Linked DNA regions of Canis lupus familiaris. The protein of the gene in region 2 interacts with the protein of the main gene of each other region in a biochemical or structural test. Links are inferred from orthologs where the notes say so. Each region holds a gene or a part of one and is shown on either strand. Other genes may lie near its edges.

Region 1 (4,098 bases), on a different chromosome or scaffold from region 2:
GAACCCAGAGGAAGGAGCTGGAAACTCAGCTATGGGATAGGAGGGCAGGCAACTTTAGGTGTTGACATAAAAGTCTCCAGCACACCAAGAGATGACTCCCTTCTTCCCTTCCAGGTGTGCCCTCTGGAGCTCCAGACTTGTCTGCTTTTCCTCAGTCAGAGCCCCCCCAAGGCTGCTACTCTCCATGCTGAGCTGCCCCAGCTCCTCTGCTATACTGTGGCCAACTCAGCCTGTCCCCCTCTCCTAGAGCTGGGCCAGCAGCTGAGCACAGGACCTGGGGGTGGTCTGCACAGCTCAGAGAGATGGTTCACCTTCCACGTTCCAACATTTAGACTTGACCCAAGGTAGGGGTGACTTATTAAAGTGGCAACATGCACTGACTCCAGGGTCTGTCCACTTCCCAGCTGAACATGCAGAGCTCCTGGCCTTCGTGCTAACCCCACTGGGCTCAGGAACCTGTGAGGAGGCCAGCCCATCTGTCCTGAGGATCTACACTGAGCCACCCTCTTGTCTCTTTTCCAGCCTATGCAGTTCTCTCTGGAACCCACCAGGCCTCTTCTTCCTTCCATCCTCCTTACTGAGGCCCAGATAAGGCAGCTGGCAGGGGACTCACACTCCGCAGCACACCAGCCAGCTGGCTCCAACCCCAGGAAGCAGAGAAGGTCCCCGGTGAGGTGTGTCTTAATCCTGCATCTCCATCTGTCCAGGCCTGGCCTCCTGTGACACTTGGGGTATGAGCCCAGTCTTGGCTCTAAGTCCTTGATCTCTGCTCAGCCTGACCCCCACTCCCGCCCATCAGGCTCTGTCCTCTGTCTACCCTTTGACCCCCTATCCCCACCCCATGCAGGGATAGTGTGGTTACAAGTACATATTCTGGGGCCATGATCCCTGGGTTTGAATCCCAGTTCCGTCACTTACTAGCTGTGGGATCTGGGAACCTTCCCTCCCTGTCTCGGTGTTCCCAGCTATAAAATAACCTCCAACCACCGCGAGCTATCGAGCTATCGTGGGGACTAAGTCCGCTAATATATGGAAAGTGCTTCAGAAGTGGCTTACACGTGGTGAGTGCTCAGTGAGCACGGGCTAATATTATTATTCAGTCAGCAAATCTTCCCTGCACACCCACTTGGTGCCAGGCATGGGGGTCCAGCTGGAGGGCAGATAGCCCCTTGCCCTCAAGGAGTGGCACTCTTGCAGGAGACAGGAGTTCAACGTCCTCACCAACAAACAGCAAGAAGCACCCTGAGGAGGCCGTGCAGGGCAGGGTGTGTGGGGTGGTGGTCAGTTCACAGAACCTGGCCCCCAAGGGCTGGCTCCTAGTTGCACGATGCCTGGGGGAGGCTCCAGCCTCTCTCAGCCTCGTTTCCTTCTCTACAAATGGGGATATGGTGCCTAACTCATCAGGTTCCACGAGGGGTCCCGTGAGTTCAGAGGTAGGTGGGCAGGACTTCTGCAGGGCCAGGCACACAGTAAGTGCTCGAGGACCACGCTCCTGGGCGGGGAGTGGAAGCTGAGGAGCCCTCCGAAAGAAGGGCTGTGGGGCAGGATGTGGCAGGCCGTGGGCTGCAGGGATGAGTTTGGTGTGTATTCTGAGAGCAAGGGGAGCCACTGGAGGGTTGTTTTTCTTTTTAAAATTTTATTTATTCATGACAGACACAGAGAGAGGCAGAGACATAGGCAGAGGGAGAAGCAGGCTGCCTGCAGGGAGCCCAATGCAGGACTCGATCCCAGGACCAGGGATCACACCCTGAGCCAAAGGCAGATGCTCAACCACTGAGCCACCCAGGCTGCCCCCACTGGAGGGTTTTAAGGGAGCCCCCCACCCGGAGGACACGGGTGGTAGAACCTGGGTTGGAGATGATGGGGTTCAGATGGGTGTGGAGGCACAGGGAAGCAGTAGGATTGGAGAGATACCAAGGGGAGAGACTGTGTGCTCCCACGGGTGTCTCCCCAATGCCAAAAGGAGCATTTACAGTATGTTTGTTTGCACCGGGTTCAAAAACAGCCCGGACCAAATAACAATCTGAGGTTTATAATCTTGACAAGGCCTTGCAACTGGGGAGGGCCTGAAAAGGACGTGGCGTTGGGGGCCAGGACAGGGAGGGGCAGGGATGACCTCCCACCACAAGCTACTGGCTCAGGAGGTGCCACTGATTAGCTGGAGGAGGATGCTGGTCTGGACTCTATGCTGCAAGTCACAGTACCCTTGACTCAAACAGACTAAAGCCCAAAAACAGAGATACTGAATTCCATAAAAGAGTAGAGGGATGGACTTCAGGCATAGCTGGATCCAGGTGCTCAAATGTCTCCAGGTTTCTTTCCCCTTGTCCCTCAGATCTCCCTACGAGAGGTAGGGACTCTACCTCTCCCTCCATTTTCTGCCAAAAACTCTCTTCTAGTGAGCCAACCTCCCAGGAGCTCCAGCCTACAACTCTTTTTTCTTTTTTAAGATTTTGTTTATTTATTCATGAGACACACACACAGAGAGGCAGAGACACAGACAGAGGAAAGGCAGACTCCCTACAGGGAGCCCAATGCAAAACTCGATCCCAGGACCCCAGGATCACGACCTGAGCTGAAGCCAGACGTTCAACCACTGAGCCACCCGGCTGCCCCCAGCGTACAATTCTTTAAGTCCAGACAAAATGAAGCGCTAGTCCACTCACCTTAAAGTTCTCTCAGATTGGAGGAGCTTAAGTCAGGTGCCCAGGCCTAAGCCAGTCACTGCAGCTGAGAGGAATGGGCTGTGCCGATTGGGTCAGCCCGCGTTCCCTGCTCTCTCCTAAAAGTCTGAGGGGTAGGATGAACTTCTACATGGAAACCCGGGGCTGCTGCCAGAAGCTGGAGAGGAATCTGTGAATGGCCCCGACAGGGTGGGTGATTTTCCAGCCTTGGACTTAGAGTTGATTTTGTCTGTATTCGATTCAGACACTGTCAGATAATAGCACATATTTTAGAAACATGTTCCCTGTAAAATCCCCAACAGTCACGAGGGGACTTGGTCAAGCTCATCAGTGTTTGGCTCTCAGCCAAGGGAGACCCCGGCCATCCAGCCAATGAAAACCCAGAGATTCCTGAATCACACACGTCATGGGCTCACACCTGGCTGGGTCCCCAAGGCCAGGGACTGCGCCACCGTGGAAGCAACGTGGGTCCGATAGGAAAGTCGTCGCCTGCGGTTGGTGACTAATAATCAAACAAGCAGGTTACGCCCATTGCAAAAATGCTAACCAGCCTGAGAGAATGCGATACGAGCCCAGAGTCTGACTCTGCTTCATGTGAAAACCCCGGAACCGGGGACTCTGAAAGACAGACTACCAGACCTAGACATGCTCTCCTGCGCCCCTCCCCAGCTGCAAGGCCTCCCCGGTTGACGCATCCCCAATCGTTACTGAGTTCGGGCTGTTTTTGAACCTGTCGTAGGCAGACGCGCTGCAACACCCTGTCTGCGGGGGGAGCCTGCCGCCGCCTCCACCTCTGGGCAGGGCCGCGTGGTACTCCGTCGGCGTCGGCGAGCGCGTGCTGACCGGCTGGTCTCGGGCCCTTTTGGCTGCTTCCTGGGTTTTCTTTCCTGTTACAAAGGGTGTCGCTGTACGTCTCTGTCTCTCCGTACCCGGCTTCCCGTGACATTTGTTTTCGTCTAGGAGGGGGAGTGCTGAGTCACTGGGTGTGCACGCGTTCAAGCTCCCCAGCTCAGGCCAGGCTGTGGCTGCGAGGCTTGTACCAAGGCTGCCAGCGGCTGCTGAGGGCTGCACCTCCTCGAGAGCATTTGTTAACGTCTGCCGGGGCAGTGGGTGTGAAATGGCATCTCGGGGAGGGTTGAATGCACAGGCCCCTTGCCGCTAACAGGGATGAGCATCTTGACGTCTGCCTGTCAGCCACCCGCCTCTCCCGTTTTACGAAATCTCTGCATCTTCCTTTTGTCCCGAAAACACTGTTTTCTTCTTGGAAATACTGATTTCTAAAGCACGGTCCGGCCATGTGACTCCCCGCCTTTAAGCCCTCCTGTGACTCCCGGGGGCCTCAGAGTAAAGCTCACGCCCAGCAGCCTGGCCAGCGAGGCCCTACAGTGGTTTGGCTCCCATCTGCGTCTCCATT
Region 2 (3,645 bases):
AGGGGTGAGCGGCCAGGAAGTCACCAGCCGGCCCAGGCCTCCTTCCAGGCCGCCCTCTGCCCACCCAGGGTGGGAGGGAGGACTTCACTTCCCGTTCTCTGCCCATGGAGGCTGTCCCTGCAGTGCCCGCCCCGGGGGCAGGGGCTCTGCCCTCACGGCCACGGCTCCAGTCTGTACCTGGTGTTGGGTGGGAAGGCTGCCGCCACGCTTGTACCACGTGATGGTGGCCTGGGGCTGCCCAGCCACCACACAGTTCAGATCCAGGGTCTGCCCTTCGACCACCGTGGGGGACGAGGACTCGATCCGGATGGGGGGGGAGACGCTGGGCACTGGAGACAGAGAAGGACGGGCCCCACAGCCGGAGTCAGGCAGCAGTGATGGCACCAGGGCCCTGTCCGCCTCCCCCTGCATCACCTGCCTGGACCCCCTGCCCTGTGCCCTCTCACCGTGGGAGGGGCCACTGCCCTCGATGGTAACAATGAGTGAGGTCTCCTGGGAGCCGCCACCGTTACTGACGTGACACACATATTCACCCGAGTCGGCCGGCGTCACCTGGGGGATCCGGAGTCGGGAGCCCACGATCTGAGGGAGAGCAAGTGTCGGTGGGTGGGGGCAGCACCTCCACATCTCAGGTGCCGCCGCCCTGGCCTCCAGGAGCCTCCCGGAGCCTCCCCTGCCTTGTCGGGGCTGGCCGCCACCAAGACGTCCTTCAGAACCCCTCGGTGGCCTCCCCACGGCCCAGCTGGCACGGACAGGCCTCTGTAGCCTCTGTCCTGTTCTCACCTGTTACCTGGCCCTAGAGCCTGCGGAGGCCATCCCTGGTGACTCGAGTGCCCTGCTCTGACTTCTATTACACTGCTGTCACAGGACATGTCTGCCCCATCCGCTAGCCTGTGAGCTCCCGGAGGGCGGGCACCTGTCTCATTCTACCTGGAATCCTTAGTGCCAGGCACACGCATTCGGCCTGGAGCAGATTCTCAGGGACATTCAGTGAGTGAGTAAATCATAGAATGTTCTGGTAAAATATGGGCTCCACTGAGGTCAGTAGTGCCCATCAAGTAAGAACGCTCAATGTTTGCTGAATGGCTGAATGAGCACAGGGAAGGGGTTGAGAGCCGCTCCTGAATCCCGTTAGAACCCGTGTGCCCAGTTTTTGCACCCACACCCAGTGCCTCCATACCTGGTGCCGGCTGGGAAGGCTGCCTCCACGCTTGTACCAGGTGATGGTGTGCGGGGCTTGGCTGGCCACCAGGCAGTTGAGGTCCAGGACATGTCCATTGGCCAGGGAGGCCGAGGAGGACTCGATGCGGACGGGGTACACCACACCCTGGGCTGGGAGGCCGAGACAGGAGACAGGGTGTGGGAGCTGCTGAGGTTGGAGCCACCCTCGAGGTCCCCCCACTGCTTGTCAGGACCGCCCCCCCAGATACTCACGGTGGGAGGGGCCATGGCGCTGCTGGATGCTGACCAGGACGGAGGCTTCTTGCGTCCCCGAGCTGCTCACCACGCGACACACGTACTCCCCAGAGTCGGAGGGGGTCACCTGGGGCAGGCGCAGCCTGGAGCCGTGCACCTGGGTGGGCAGGAGGGAGCCTGGCTCAGGGTCAGGCACCAGGGCTCCGGGCCAGGCTCCTGCTCCCTCCCCTGGCCCTGCTCCCAGCCCAGTCCAGCCAGCTGGCCTTGCGAGGCGCTCTTGCTGGAAAGACCAGCATTCATGGCCAGTCAATTCCCCTGCTCCAGTGTGGGACTGGGCCCAGTGAAAAGGAGTGGGCGGCCAACAGTTGTTGACGTGCTATGGGGCAGGTGAGGTAGGCAGTGGGAGCCCACTTGACGGAGGAGGGCACTGAGGATCGGGGAAGTCGAGTGACTGGCGTAGAGCCACACAGCAGGCACAGGGCAGAACAGTGTCTGAACTCAGGTACGCCTGAATTCAAAGCCTGGATGCCCTACTCTGTAGTCACGAGGGTCCTTCAGGCTCCCCCCTAGCTCTCTTGCTTCCTACCTGGTGCCGGGCGGGGAGGCTGCCCCCGCGTTTGTGCCACGTGACCTGGGCGTGGGCCTGCCCAGCAACCAGGCAGTTCAGATCCAGAGTCTGCCCTTCCGCCACGTGGGAGGACGATGATTCGATCCGGACAGGGGGGGTGACCCCCAACGCTGGGGACAGAGGGCAGAGGGTGAGTCCCTGGCTAGGAGGGGAGGGTGGGGGGTGGGTGTGTGTGTGAATGTAAGGGCTACTGGTCTCGTGGGGTCCTGCCAGTATCTCCCACGGCTGGGCCCCTAACCCTGCCCTACCCCCAGGACTGCTTACCGGGTACAGAGCCTGCAGGCTCAATGGTCACCAGGACAGAGGCCTCCAGGGGCACCGAGCCACCCACCACGCGGCACACATACTCGCCCGAGTCAACTGGGGACACCTGGTGTAGTCTCAGCAGTGAGCCGTGGGTCTGGCCAGAATGGAGGTGAGCTCAGAGGGGGCCCTCACGAGGCCCCTACACCTGTAACCTACAGCCCTGCCTCACTCTGACCCTTGGGGCCTGGCCATCCACTGTCTTGCTTAGGGAGAGACTTGTCCCAAGAGTAGGAGGTGGCCAGGAGGAGCCATGGAGAACTGGGCAAACATTAATTCCACTTTCTGTTGCTTCTAAGACACTTTTTAATGTCTCTGAAATCAAGATGTGTCTTACGGTGAATAATTTGTCTTATGGGGAATAATTTTACAGTTACAAATGGCAGCTTTTCTTCCTTAGAGGTACAAAGAATAATAGCACACCTTGCAATCGATAGCATCCTCAACTCTTTAAAACACAGTAATATTAATAACAGCTAACAGTACGGTAATAACAGTTGGGCAATTTCTACGTGCCAGAGCTCTGAGCACTTTGCAGGGATGTTAACTCACTTCACCCTTAAAACAATTATATAAGACAGATACCATTTTACAGATGTTGAAGCAATGGCACAGGAAGGCTAAGCAACTCGCTTAAGGTCACAAGCTAGTAAGTGGGGGAAATAGCATTCACACCTAGGTTGGCCAGCCCTAGAGTCTGGGTTCTAACCATGGTGCTAGACACCTGGACACCCTTGGACAATGGGGTCCAAGGCTTCCCTGACTCCGAGGAGCTTCCAGTCCTTCCCATCCTTGACCTCCACCACCCAGGGCCTCCCTCCTGTCTCCTTCTTGGCCTGCCCATCTTCTAGGCCTGTACCTGGTGTCGGGCGGGAAGGCTGCCCCCGCGCTTGTGCCACGTGACCTGGGCGTGGGCCTGGCCGGGCACCACGCAGTTCAGGTCCAGGGTCTGTCCTTCGGCCACGTGGGAGGAGGAGGACTCGATGCGGATGGGCTGGGAGCTACCCGGAGCTGGGGGAAAAGACGGTCACCGGTCACTCCAGTTCTCTACAGCTGTTCCCGCCTGGCCCTGCCTTCCGTCCCAGCCCAACCTGCTGGCCCCACTCACGGTAGGCGAAGTTGGCCCCCTGGGTCCTGGTTACTGTGACTGTGATGGAGCCCTCCATCCCGTTGCTGGCCCGGCAAACATACTCGCCTGCGTCGGCTGGCGAGGCCTGGAAGATGTACAGGCGGGAGCCGCGGACCTGGGCAGACAGGGGCAGGGATGTGAGATGGGGGCTTCCCGTAGCCCAGCAGAC
Region 3 (3,645 bases), on a different chromosome or scaffold from region 2:
AGTTCTGCAACCAATGAGAGATAGACATATTCTATTCACCTGAGTCTTCCACAAGTGTCTCGTTATCTTTAAACCAGGTAATCTGTGGAGGGGGATTCCCAGATGTGGTGCATGAAACTTCAATGGTTTCACCAATACTTGTAGTCTGATTCTCCAGGTTTCCGGTGATCATGGGCGCCACGCGCTCTATGCAGACACACACACACACAAAAATCACACAACATTCAGTTATAACTTTTGAAATGGTTTTAGCATCAGTTAACTGATAAATAGTTTAAACTTAGTAAACAGTAAGCCACTGATTTCCTAAGCTGCAAATACACAGAGGTTGATGACAATACCATTGGTCACCAGGTAAAGTCAAATGAAACAGGTCAGGACAGTTGAGATAAGTCACTGCTCCTCTATGAACATTCCTATTAGTGACTCTAGTTGATTGTCACATCACAAAATGAAGGTTGTCACCTTTATGGGTTTTTCCTAATTAGACACGGCTTCCCCCAAGGGGAAACTTTCCCTCCCACGAAAGTTCCAGCTAGTGACACCCTTGAAGTTTGCCATGTTTCTCTTGGAAAGTGCGAAACTTCAATGTAATTCAACAAAGAATACCTTATATTTATTTGGCTTTTTTTTTTTTTTTTTTTTTTTTTTTACAAAACTCAGTTATACTATCTCTGTTGCTCACTTTCAACCCTGGAATGGACAAGAATATTAACCTTATTTCACAGAGGAAAGAACTGCAGTTCATGGGGCAGGGGGGGTGGGTAAATGATTCATCCAAGTCCTTATAACTAAGTAAGCATTTGACCTAATAATAGAAACTGGTGAGACTGAAAGCCTAGTCCAGTGCCATTCCCACTAAAACACAAAAGAGCAACACAGAAATCCCTAAAGAAAGTCAAAGATCTCAAGAAAATTAAGCCCACGAGTATTTCTTTCAATGTATAGCAAAACTTTCAAAATATAGAAATATTTTGTCCACAGCAATCAAATGGAATCTTGCTGAAAGAATCCACTTCAATATTTAGCAAAACGAGATTACCTCATTGGTGAACTACATTAGGGCTTAACAAATATCCTGGGCTCTGGTCTGTTTCTAAGAATAATTTTAGGAAAACAACTTAGGAGCTCTTAGAAAAGCAAAGCAGCTCATTGTGAGCACAAATTTCCTGGGCATGGCCCCTTCACATCTCTCTCTGAATTCTTCCACTAATTTGAAACCAGACAGTCACCAAGGTGAACAGAAAACACATGGCCATGTATGTGATATGATATGAAGGGCCCTGGCAATGACTTCACCCTAAAATATTCCTTCTTTTGACACCTAAGTCTTAACACCAGCAAATACTATCCTAGGGTCTGTCTGAAGATACCTCTTAAACTTGCCAAGGCCTCTGAAGAAGATATTATTCCTCTAAAACTTTGGTATAGATTCATTCACCTGGGCAGTTTGTTGCCCTTCTTAAGAGTAAAATCAGAGAACACATGCATCCCAGAAACTGGGAAGGGACACTCATGAGGGGAGAAAATGGAGAGAGTGGACACAAAGAGAACTTTCCAGATCTGTCTCATTTCCCCAGAGACAGAGGCATGGCTGCACAGCTCCTGTGCAGGACACGGGTTTAGATGAGGTGTGGAGAGTGGCTCCCTGGGGCATTTTACAAAGCTATCAGCTCATTAAAATGATCATCCCATTGATCCCTACGTTGGACTACATGGGATGACCCAGAGGTGCAAGCTGTGAGTGCAGCACCCCTCCCACGGGCTCTCCCAGGTCCTAAATAACTCTTCATGCAGCAGATGCCTTCCTGAGCACCTACTATGTGCCACTATGTTCTGTGATGCGAGCTACAGCAAGGAGGAAGAGAAAACAAATCCCATCCTCATGGACACAAAGACCACAATGTGCCATGGCTGCCCCGTGGTTGCCTGTGTTTTCATCTTGTCTACCTACTTACCATTGTGAACTTCTGGAACCTTCTTAGCTCATAGTAGGCATTCCATGAATACGTGTCTACTAAAATAAACAAATGCCAAGGATAAAGCAGGAATTTCCCCAGTTTAAGCTAATCTCTTGTAGATAATAGTGAAGTCCTATCATTAGAGCTAGAAAGGAACATGTTATTTTCTCTTTTTAATACATCACTTCACCACTATTGGCCTCTTTCTGCCTCCAGAACATTCGGTGAATAAGGCAAGTGTGCACCAGTCTACTTCCTATGCTCCTATAGGACAGTGATCTTACAGTCCCTAAAAGTACCACATTGAAGGCTTTCCAACTGTCTTTGATGACCAAAATTGCCTCCTTACCTAAAACTGTGAGCTGTCTGACCACACAATGTCTTTTCTTGGTCTTCCTGTCCTGAGCGAAGCACACATAGTCTCCTTGGTCCTGCAAGGACACATTCTGGAGCTCCAGGATCAAAATGTCACTTGTGCCATTAGAGAACGTGGTGGCATTCATTCTCCAAAGAGCATCCAAGTTCTTGCAAACAGGTGTGGGCACCTCTCCCGCATGGACTGCCAGAGCCTGTGGGCCAGACTTGTACCACGTGAGGTTCTCAAACGTAGTTCTGTCTGCAGTGCACCACAAAGACACGCTCTCCTGCTCGGTTGGCTGGGTGTCCGGTTGCAAAGTGATTTCAGGGCCCCCTGAAATATAAAACCTACGGTTAGAAAATGGTGATTTAATTTGGGCAGCACACTATTGTCTTCCTGTTGCCTTCAGACTGCTGTAAAGCACCAAGAGAAGTGAAGCCCTAGCAATCCCAGCAAAGGAATACAAGGAGACTACCAAACTAGACAGTTCGGGCTCCAAAATGTATTATTTTACCAAGATGCATTCCTCAGATACGTATCAAGTCTCTACTTTGGGCTCAAAACACAGCTTTAGAGATTAAAAAAAATCCAAAACATATTGAAAGCAGATAATTATACCAAGGAACTTTAAAAATTAGTTCCTCATTGACACATCACACTCAATGACACTGAAGCTATATTTATGACAACAAATTAGCCCGCACTGAACTCTTGACCACCTAGTCCGGTCAGCTAAAGCTTAACCATAAAATTAAGATGCACAATCAGAATCAGCAGCACTGGGCAGAAACTGCCTCTGTGTCATTGCAATTGCCTCCGGAAAACCCAACACTGTCAACAGCTCAGCAGCAAGCCCACCAATACTGATGGAACCCCAAGAAGCCAAGCGCTGTGCTAGACTAGGATGGTGGAGCCATAACCGTGATGCAGGATTTGTGGCTAAAAAAATATGCAAAACCATCCTCTCCCCTGAGGGAATGGGAGAGTCAGTTCTACCGACTTCCCACGCACCCAACAGCTAGCTGAGGAGTCTTCATTTATGAACCAAAGCATCCCCAATCAGCCCAAGTCCTCTTCCGAAACACCATGCCACTCCGGAATGGCAAGGGCCACAGAGCATCAGACAGCCTAGTGCCCCCTTGGCAAGAGATCTAACCCCCCCCCCCCCAAAGGGAGAGCAATACTCACTGATCACGTGGAAGGAGATGACCCTCTCTCCTCTCCCAACTTTATTGACGGCTTCGCATTTGTACAAAGCTGACACATTGGCTGCTTGGATAACAAGGGTACTTACAGTCTGTGGAAAAAACAAATCCCGGGCTGTAA

The links.
Region 1: the proteins of HSPG2 (region 2) and FBLN2 form a complex in vitro, tested with the Homo sapiens proteins (2 studies listed by BioGRID). The link is inferred for Canis lupus familiaris from reciprocal best matches to the Homo sapiens genes HSPG2 and FBLN2.
Region 3: the proteins of HSPG2 (region 2) and KDR form a complex in vitro, tested with the Homo sapiens proteins (2 studies listed by IntAct). The link is inferred for Canis lupus familiaris from reciprocal best matches to the Homo sapiens genes HSPG2 and KDR.

Annotation. Positions count from the first base shown.
Region 1 is NC_049241.1:3,866,520-3,870,617, reverse strand, and holds the start of FBLN2 (fibulin-2), read right to left. Parts: upstream 2,911-4,098; 5' UTR 2,667-2,910; intron 1-2,666. UniProt on the Homo sapiens protein: Its binding to fibronectin and some other ligands is calcium dependent. May act as an adapter that mediates the interaction between FBN1 and ELN.
Region 2 is NC_049223.1:76,736,312-76,739,956, reverse strand, and holds part of HSPG2 (basement membrane-specific heparan sulfate proteoglycan core protein), read right to left. Parts: intron 3,592-3,645; coding exon 3,456-3,591; intron 3,359-3,455; coding exon 3,207-3,358; intron 2,445-3,206; coding exon 2,309-2,444; intron 2,155-2,308; coding exon 2,003-2,154; intron 1,574-2,002; coding exon 1,435-1,573; intron 1,333-1,434; coding exon 1,181-1,332; intron 583-1,180; coding exon 447-582; intron 330-446; coding exon 178-329; intron 1-177. UniProt on the Homo sapiens protein: Integral component of basement membranes. Component of the glomerular basement membrane (GBM), responsible for the fixed negative electrostatic membrane charge, and which provides a barrier which is both size- and charge-selective.
Region 3 is NC_049234.1:48,227,430-48,231,074, forward strand, and holds part of KDR (vascular endothelial growth factor receptor 2 precursor), read right to left. Parts: intron 3,617-3,645; coding exon 3,508-3,616; intron 2,653-3,507; coding exon 2,311-2,652; intron 187-2,310; coding exon 40-186; intron 1-39. UniProt on the Homo sapiens protein: Tyrosine-protein kinase that acts as a cell-surface receptor for VEGFA, VEGFC and VEGFD. Plays an essential role in the regulation of angiogenesis, vascular development, vascular permeability, and embryonic hematopoiesis.